Linked DNA regions of Canis lupus familiaris. The protein of the gene in region 2 purifies or fractionates together with the protein of the main gene of each other region. This does not show direct contact. Links are inferred from orthologs where the notes say so. Each region holds a gene or a part of one and is shown on either strand. Other genes may lie near its edges.

Region 1 (4,258 bases), on a different chromosome or scaffold from region 2:
GGGTCAGTTCCAGGAGTGGGGCAGCTAGGGCTCTGCAGGTGGGGATGGGGGTCAGTTCCAGGAGGGGGCAGCTGAGGCTCTGCAGGTGGGGGTGGGGGTCAGTTCCAGGAGGAGAGCAGCAGAGGCTCTGCAGGTGGGGGTGGGGGTCAGTTCCAGGAGGGGGGCAGCTGAGGCTCTGCAGGTGGGGGTGGGGATCAGTTCCTGGAGGGGGGCAGCTGAGGCTCTGCAGGTGGGGATGGGGGTCAGTTCCAGGAGGGGGGCAGGGGAGGGTCTGCAGGTGGGGATGGGGGTCAGTTCCAGGAGTGGGGCAGCTAGGGCTCTGCAGGTGGGGATGTGGGTCAGTTCCAGGAGGGGGCAGCTGAGGCTCTGCAGGTGGGGGTGGGGGTGGGGGTCAGTTCCAGGAGGAGAGCAGCAGAGGCTCTGCAGGTGGGGGTGGGGGTCAGTTCCAGGAGGAGAGCAGCTGAGGCTCTGCAGGTGGGGGTGGGGATCAGTTCCAGGAGGAGAGCAGCTGAGGCTCTGCAGGTGGGGATGGGGGTCAGTTCCAGGAGGGGGGCTGCTGAGGCTCTGCAGGTGGGGGTGGGGGTCAGTTCCAGGAGGGGGGCAGGGGAGGGTCTGCAGGTGGGGGTGGGGGTCAGTTCCAGGAGGGGGGGGAGGGGAGGCTCTGCAGGTGGGGGTGGGGGTCAGTTCCAGGAGGGGGGCAGCTGAGGCTCTGCAGGTGGGGGTGGGGGTCAGTTCCAGGAGGGGGGCAGGGGAGGGTCTGCAGGTGGGGATGGGGGTCAGTTCCAGGAGGGGGGCAGGGGAGGGTCTGCAGGTGGGGATGGGGGTCAGTTCCAGGAGGGGGGCAGCTGAGGCTCTGCAGGTGGGGGTGGGGGTCAGTTCCAGGAGGGGGGCAGGGGAGGCTCTGCGGTCCCTGGAGCCGCGGTCACCTTGTTTTCCTGCTACTAGAGGGGACACGACAAAGAGCACTGTCGCGGGGGGCGGCGGGCGCGGGCCCGGCCTCCTGACCGGCCGCCCAGGCTGAGTGTGTGTGACGGCCGCCGCTCGGTGGGGTGGGCGCGGGACAGCACCCCCGGGGGCGCCGGGACGCCGCGGCTGGCCCTTCCCTTCCACCCCCGCCCAAGCCGGGCCTCGACGAACCTTCGGGAACGCGGGCGGGGCGGGGCGCATGCGCGGCGTCAGGGCCGGGCGGAAGTGTACGTCGCCGTGCCGCCGCCGCGTGACGCACTTCCTGTTTGTTGTCGGAGAAAGGAGAGAAAGGAAAGCGCGAGGAGCCGCCGCCGCCGCCGCTGCCAGCGCCGCTGTGCCGGAGCCGAGGGGACCCGGGCCGCCGCCCCGCCGCGCCTCCTGCCCGCCGCCGGCTCCCTGTCCTGGGTGAGCGTCGCCCTCGGGCGGGGGGCGGGCCTGGGACCGGTGTGGGGCCGCGCCGGGGCGGGGGGCTCGGGCCCGGGGTCGGGGATCTGGGGCCTGCCGTGGGGCCGGCCTTCCGAGGTGAGCGTCGGGCTGGGGTGTCTGCGGGCTGCCGGGCCGGGGCCGGGGGCGCGGGCGCGGCGGGTGGGGGTGGCGGGGCCCGGGCCGGCGGTGAGGCCGGGGCGGCGGGGGCGGGCGGCGGGCGTGGGCGTCGGGCTGGGTGCACGGGGGCCCGGCCCGGGGCGGGGCCGGGGTCAGGAGTCGCGGCCCGGGGCGGGGGCGGGCCCCGGGGTCGGGGCGGCCTTCGCCCTTGGTTCGCCCCGCGCCGGCGGTTGGGCCGGGGCTCGGGCGGGGGGCGGGCTGGGCGGGGGCCCCGCCGCGGGAAGGCAGGTTTTTACTCTTCATAAAGCCCCACGTGGATGACCCCAAAGCCAGAGACGAGGTAGGTCTGCAGAGGGTGGCAGTCTGGGGGAGGACGCCCCGAACACGGAGACCAGGAAGCGGCTCCGGGAGACGCGAAGCCGCGTTCCCGGAACTTCCCACTAATTGTTTAAAAGTTTTCGGATGAGCAAAACGCCCGGATCTCACCCAAACAGCCGGTTTGGTCTGTTGCTTCAGAGTGTGTCATGATTTATAGGAGTGAGGTTTACGTCAGCCTGTGCCCAAGGAAGGGGACAATTGAGGCACGGAGGGTAGGTGGCCTACCGTGTGGTCCCGGAAGGTCTTCGAGCGAGCCCGGGGTTGGCAGGGGGGCGGGGGGGGGGGGGGAGGTTCGGCTCTGGCCGGGACTAGTCGGCTGCCAGCGAGAGGAGGGGTTAGCAAGCCCGTGGAACTTGTTGCTGCTTTTCTGCTGTAATCGTGTCGAATAATGATGCGGGTCCAAATGTTTCCGCACTGTGCTTCCCTCCCGCGTCTCCCAGATACCCCAACCCCCGGTTCCCTGGGAAGTTCATAATGTGCACTTTTAACTACTTTGGGGTTAGTACTTGCGTGTTTGTGTAACAAAAGGATGTGTGGTTTTTATGCATAGTAGCCGGTAAGTGGTGGAATGTTCTGGATAAGGCGCATGGGAGTTGGGGAAGTACATTGGCTTGGTGGGGTGGGCTGAGCCTAAGCCTCAACTTGTTGCTTAGGGTTTGGGACTTAAGGAGCAGTTAGGGGATTTCACAGGAGTTCAGCACCCACTTAAAAAATCTGTGTTTTAAATTTGTTTCCTTGATTTGAGATTGGTGTATTTGAGAGGTTTTTCTGGCTGCGGGACAGACTTATCCGGAGGGCTGGGTGGAGAGCGGTGTTTAATATTCTGAAGACTAAATTATGGACGAGGAATGATAGTACACCTGCAATTAAGTGGCACACAATAGCTTTTGTCTTTCAGCAAGCCCATTATTTTTCGTAGGTGTAAATATTAAGAGTAGAACCATTTTCCTCTGTTTTCACTTTGTTTTTGGACATCTTTATTATTTATTTTAAAGGATGTATATTTTTTAAGATCTTATTTATTTATTCATGAGAGAGAGAGGCATAGGGAGAAGCAGGCTCCATGCAGGGAACCTGATGCGCGACTCGGTCCCAGGACTCCAGGATCACACCCTGGGCCGAAGGCAGACGCTAAACCACTGAGCCACCCAGGGCTCCCCTGTTTTGGACACTTTTAAAACGATTCTACTCCCTACCATTAGTAGTTTCTGACTCGCAAACTCAAAAACCAGGTTGGGGCAGGGGATGGTGTTTGCATATTTTTTAGTTTGTTTTATTTAAGAGGGCACTTTAAAATTCAGTAAGTTTATAATTTTATTTACTTAACTTATTTTAAAGGCTTGCTTTATTTATTGGAGAGAGTGAGCTCAGCAAGGGCAGAGGGAGAAGCAGAGTAGGGAGCCTGCCCTGGGGCTCCATCCCAGATCTCAGGACCCTGGGATCTTGACCAGAGCCATCCAGCCGCCCTTAGTGAGTTATTTTAAATTCACTTTTCAGGGTTGCAGTGTACTACTGTTACCTTGGTGATGTTCTGTTACCTTCCACAGTTGCTGGGACTGCCCATTACAGGTCATCTGCTGTGTTAGTTAAGGGTTGAGGGTGATTGCATGCCTTTTCTGTTGCAGGATGGTAAGGATTAAGTGAATGGAATCAGCCTCTATTTGTAAATTAGAAAGGCTTTTTTTCTTGGAAATCTAAAATTTAGAGTGGGGGTGGTCTGAGAACTCTGGTTTGCTTTAAATTTGTTCAGAACACCACCTAGTGGTGAAATAGGCGTAATTGCAGGTTTATTAGGGAATTTAGGATGGGGACAGTGGCCAACAGGAATTAACAAATGCTGTCGTTTCTCTTTGATAAATAAGATTTGTGAGAACTTGAAATTCAGGAGGTAAATGAGAAGAACAGCAAGGTTGGTGAAGATAAGAATAGTGGTAGAAATTATAATGTAGGAATGGAAGGACGATTGACTAATTGTAATCTCTACCTTGACCTCGGCGCTTGAACTCACAACTTTAAGATCAGGAGTCACATGTTCTACCAATTGAATTAGCCAGGTGCCCTGGAAAGACTATTTTATTTTAATTTTTAAAAGATTTTATTTATTTATTCATGGCAGACACAGAGAGAGAGAGAGAGAGAGAGAGAGGCAGAGACACAGGCAGAGGGAGAAACAGGCTCCATGCAGGGAGCCCGACGTGGTACTCAATCCCAGGTCTCCAGGATCACACCCCAGGCTGAAGGCGGCGCTAAACTGCTGGGCCACAGGGGCTGCCCTGGAAAGACTATTTTAAAGCCTAAATGGAGAAAATGACTTATGGATAACTCAGTTTGGAGAAAAAATTTTTTTGACCATTTAGTTTTTTAAAGATTT
Region 2 (3,802 bases):
AAACCACTGAGCCACCTGGGCTGCCCCAAAGACTTCTTTTAGTGTCTACTTACCTGGGCAACATGTAAAGGTAATGATAAACATCAACAGACATTCACATGAATAAAAGGCATCGGAGGTCGGGGTGAGGGGAGAAAGAAATGGCTTTAAGTAAGTAAATACAGTCATTAGCATTATCGTTTTTCATAGTATCACTTGTTGCGGTGATACGTGTCTTCCTCCCTCATCCCTACCCCCGGGGTACCAGGTCAAGCTTTAATGATTAAAATCTGATACGGGCGATCCATCATCCCACAAGTCGATAAGCTCCAAGAAATGCTCAGAAACTACTCACTCCGCCTGGAGCCCTACGGGTTTGAGTTGAGGCCTGGAAAACCTTCGGTGGTTCATCTCCTACTTTGGAGTAAGTCATGACTGAGGAAGAACTAAACGAATGTCCATTTGGATCCAGTGAAAGGTGACCCTGGGGGCAAATATAAATCGTAAGTCCAGAGAGTTTAGTCAAATATGCAGAACTGACGTCAGAGGAGTCAAGTAAGTAACTATAGTAACTAACGTTCTTCTAGGGTCTCCATACTGTCGTGTGGTATAGCCAGTGGCACCCAGGCAGGTCCTCACTTGTACCAATCCTCACCCTTCTTGTGAGGAAAACAACAAGAAGTGACTCAGAGATCTAAGTCTTCGTGATCAAAGACTGCGGCTTAGGTTTAACTTTAGATGCTGCGCCCTGAAGCCTGTGATGCTTTTAGAGTCAGTGGTTGACACGGGGCGCGAGTTTGCCAACACCCGCCAACGAGCCATATGCCAGCAAGTTCTATACCTCCTGTGGGTGCCAGATTGAGCTAGATTACGAAAATCACTGATAATGCCCTACATTTGGGCATTCTAAAATGATCCTTAAATTCTAAACTAGATGACTACAATAGTATGAGTCTTCTTCATATTAAATCAAGTTATTTTTTTGATGTTAATACCATGAGTAGAATAAGAGTATTAACACTGGCTTATAACCACTTGGACTGTATGGATCTAATCCCATGCCCAAACATCATTCCTGAAATGTCTGTTTTCATGTTTAAAAAAAAACAAAAACAAAAACAAAACAAAACAAAAAAACACTAACAGTTAATTTCTTAGCTGTTATAAATCCCTTTTTAAAATTTTTTAAAGATTTATTTATTTATTTATTTATTTATTTATGAATGATAGAGAGAGACAGAGAGGTGCAGAGACACAGGAGGAGGGAGAAGCAGGCTCCATGCCGGGAGCCCGACACGGGATTGCGCCCTGGGCCAAAGGCAGGCGCCAAACCGCTGAGCCACCCAGGGATCCCTATAAATCCTTTTAAGTAGATAAGTTATAAATAATTAAAAAGTCTAGATTCATATAAAACGTTCATTTATATAATAGTGACCTTCCACGCAGTATAAATGTTTGAGGTATTTTTTTCTTAATTTTGAAAGTTAATTACTGTGATTTTTCAGACTTGTAGGTTGTGAAATCAGTTTGGTGGGTTGTGACCAGGATTTTTAAAATATGAACTGAAATAGAAAATATAAGCACACACCGTAAATAGCGTGGTCATTTTCTCACAAAACTTGGGTTTCAGGTTTACCCGTCCAGTACACGAGTGTCGCGTACTGGGTCGTACTGTAAGATCTACGTTTCAACCGCCGTGGACCATGACTTTCAGAAGTTGAAAGCCGCTATCGTATGGGGGTGCCGACACCGGAACAAGGTCCTCATCAATTTCTCAGTACTTACGAGGTCCCTCTGTAACTCGTGCATGCTGTTTCGCATATTCACCATCATTCGGTCCATTGCCTGGAAGGGGCTGACGTCCGTGCGCTGCAGGATATTGGGGCGTGTTAGTAACTGTGGGCACAACACAAAGGAAGCAAATCAACTTTCCCAAAACAGCTGAAAACGTCTTTCTGTGGATTCACGCGGGGGGCCTCATGCAGCCTGGGCCAGGCGAAGGTGGTTAAGGGCCACAGCAGAAAGCCACTCGCTAAGAGCACGTGCAGCACCTCACGCAGCCAGCATGTAAGTGAGGACGGCGCTGCGGCCCCGCACCTGCACCTGCACCTGCACCTGCACACGCACACGCACGAGCCCATAAACACACACTCACCAACACGACTTCTTAGAACCCAATCTAGTCACCACTTCAGTCCTGTGGCTGCTCTGGGCGGGCACAACTCCAGCGCCGACGAATTTTCTAGCGTCCCCTTGGCCGCCCCCAGCTGCGCGTGCAGAGCGCCCCGCGCCCCCCGTGCCCCCCGCGCCCCGTCCCCGAGCTTCAGGCGGGAGGAGGGCCCGGAGGTGGCTGCGGCGGCCCCGCGTGGCCCGACCCGCTTCCTTTGGGGCAGGGTCCAGGGCGCCCCGGGGCCTGTGGGCTCCCGGGCCCTTGGGGTCACGCTCACCTGGGCGCGGCGGGAGCAGGAGGAGCCCCAGGGCCGCGAGGGCGGGCGCCCGGGACAGGAGCTGTGGGGCCGCGGGGCCGGGATCTGCTCTCGGTCAGGGAAGCCCCACGAGGGCTTAGACCCGAGGCCCGGGTGCCGGCGTGTGGCCGCCGCGGGACACGGGGCACAGGACACGCAGCCCGGCCCGGCCCGCCGCCTCCCCGCCTGGGTCTCTCAGGGGTAAATCCTAGGTCTTTATTTTATTTTTATAGATTTCATTCATTTATTCATGACAAACACACAGAGAGGCGGAGACCCAGGCAGAGGGAGGAGCAGGCTCCACGCAGGGAGCCACAGGCGGACTCGATCCCGGGACCCCGGGGTCACGCCCTGGGCCGGAGGCAGCACCAAACCGCTGGGCCCCGGGCTGCCCGATCCTAGGTCTTTAACGGAGAAAGGCCCCCCCACCTGTGCCCCGCCCTCGGCCGCCTCCTGCCCTCGGGGCACGTCCCCTGCTGGTCTGGAACCCCTGGCTCTCGGCCGCCCCACAGAAGGTCCCGGGAGGCGCCTCCCCGGGCCCAGCAGCACCCACCGGCTCAACCGACACATCCTGTCCCCCGCAGCCCAGCCCCGCGCTCAGCTTCACCAGGCGCTTCCACCCCACGGGGCAGGGGCGCCTCCGACCCCAACAGCCCAACCGAGACGGCCCTTCCGCAGCCCCAGGCCCCGCGCCCGCCCCGCCGCTGCTCCTCAGCTCAGGGGCATCCCACCTAATGCCTCCTGCCAAAGAAACGGGCGAATACTTTCCTTTTCCCTCTTTACTCTCCCTTCAACCCAGGAAGCCCCCAACTTTTACCCATTTACCTCTTGAACTTTCAAATAAGACACCACAGCCCCTGCCCAAGCGGAACCCATGAGAACAGTCCCCAGAACCCTTCAGCGGCCTCCTGGCCTCCCTGCCTCCACCCTGCCTCCACCGCAGCCCCTTCTAACCTCTGCTTCCCCCGTTCCTAAGATAATGCCCACAGACCCTACCGGGACCGTAATAGTCCCTGGTTACCCTCCTGCCTTTACTCCCCAGCTCACGCTCCAGGGCGCCGAACATTTTTCTCCCCTCCCTGCTTTTCCTGCTAACTCCTCTTATCCATAAGGTTCCAGAAATCTTCTCCCATTAACCTCCATGCCACCACCCCAAGAGGTCTGGGTAACACGCGTTTTTCTATCTGCGCTCCCGTAGCGCTCGACTTCGGATCATTTTACTGGAAACTCCGCTATAACTGCTTGTTTAATCTGTCATTTGTCTCCTGAGAACGTGATCAGGAAGGACAAACGCGCTGTGTCAGGCTTCCGGCAGACAAATGACCGAAGTCTAACACGACACGAAGAAACTTCCTCAT

The links.
Region 1: the proteins of MLF1 (region 2) and DNAJB6 purify together in Homo sapiens (affinity purification with mass spectrometry; 3 studies listed by BioGRID and IntAct, counting the BioPlex papers as one, with this or other methods). This does not show direct contact. The link is inferred for Canis lupus familiaris from reciprocal best matches to the Homo sapiens genes MLF1 and DNAJB6.

What each region holds. Positions count from the first base shown.
Region 1 is NC_049237.1:20,508,612-20,512,869, forward strand, and holds the start of DNAJB6 (dnaJ homolog subfamily B member 6), read left to right. Parts: upstream 1-1,267; 5' UTR 1,268-1,371; intron 1,372-1,799; exon of another isoform or gene 1,800-1,849; intron 1,850-4,258. UniProt on the Homo sapiens protein: Has a stimulatory effect on the ATPase activity of HSP70 in a dose-dependent and time-dependent manner and hence acts as a co-chaperone of HSP70. Plays an indispensable role in the organization of KRT8/KRT18 filaments.
Region 2 is NC_049244.1:52,483,226-52,487,027, reverse strand, and holds part of MLF1 (myeloid leukemia factor 1), read right to left. Parts: intron 1,876-3,802; coding exon 1,765-1,875; intron 464-1,764; coding exon 335-463; intron 1-334. UniProt on the Homo sapiens protein: Involved in lineage commitment of primary hemopoietic progenitors by restricting erythroid formation and enhancing myeloid formation.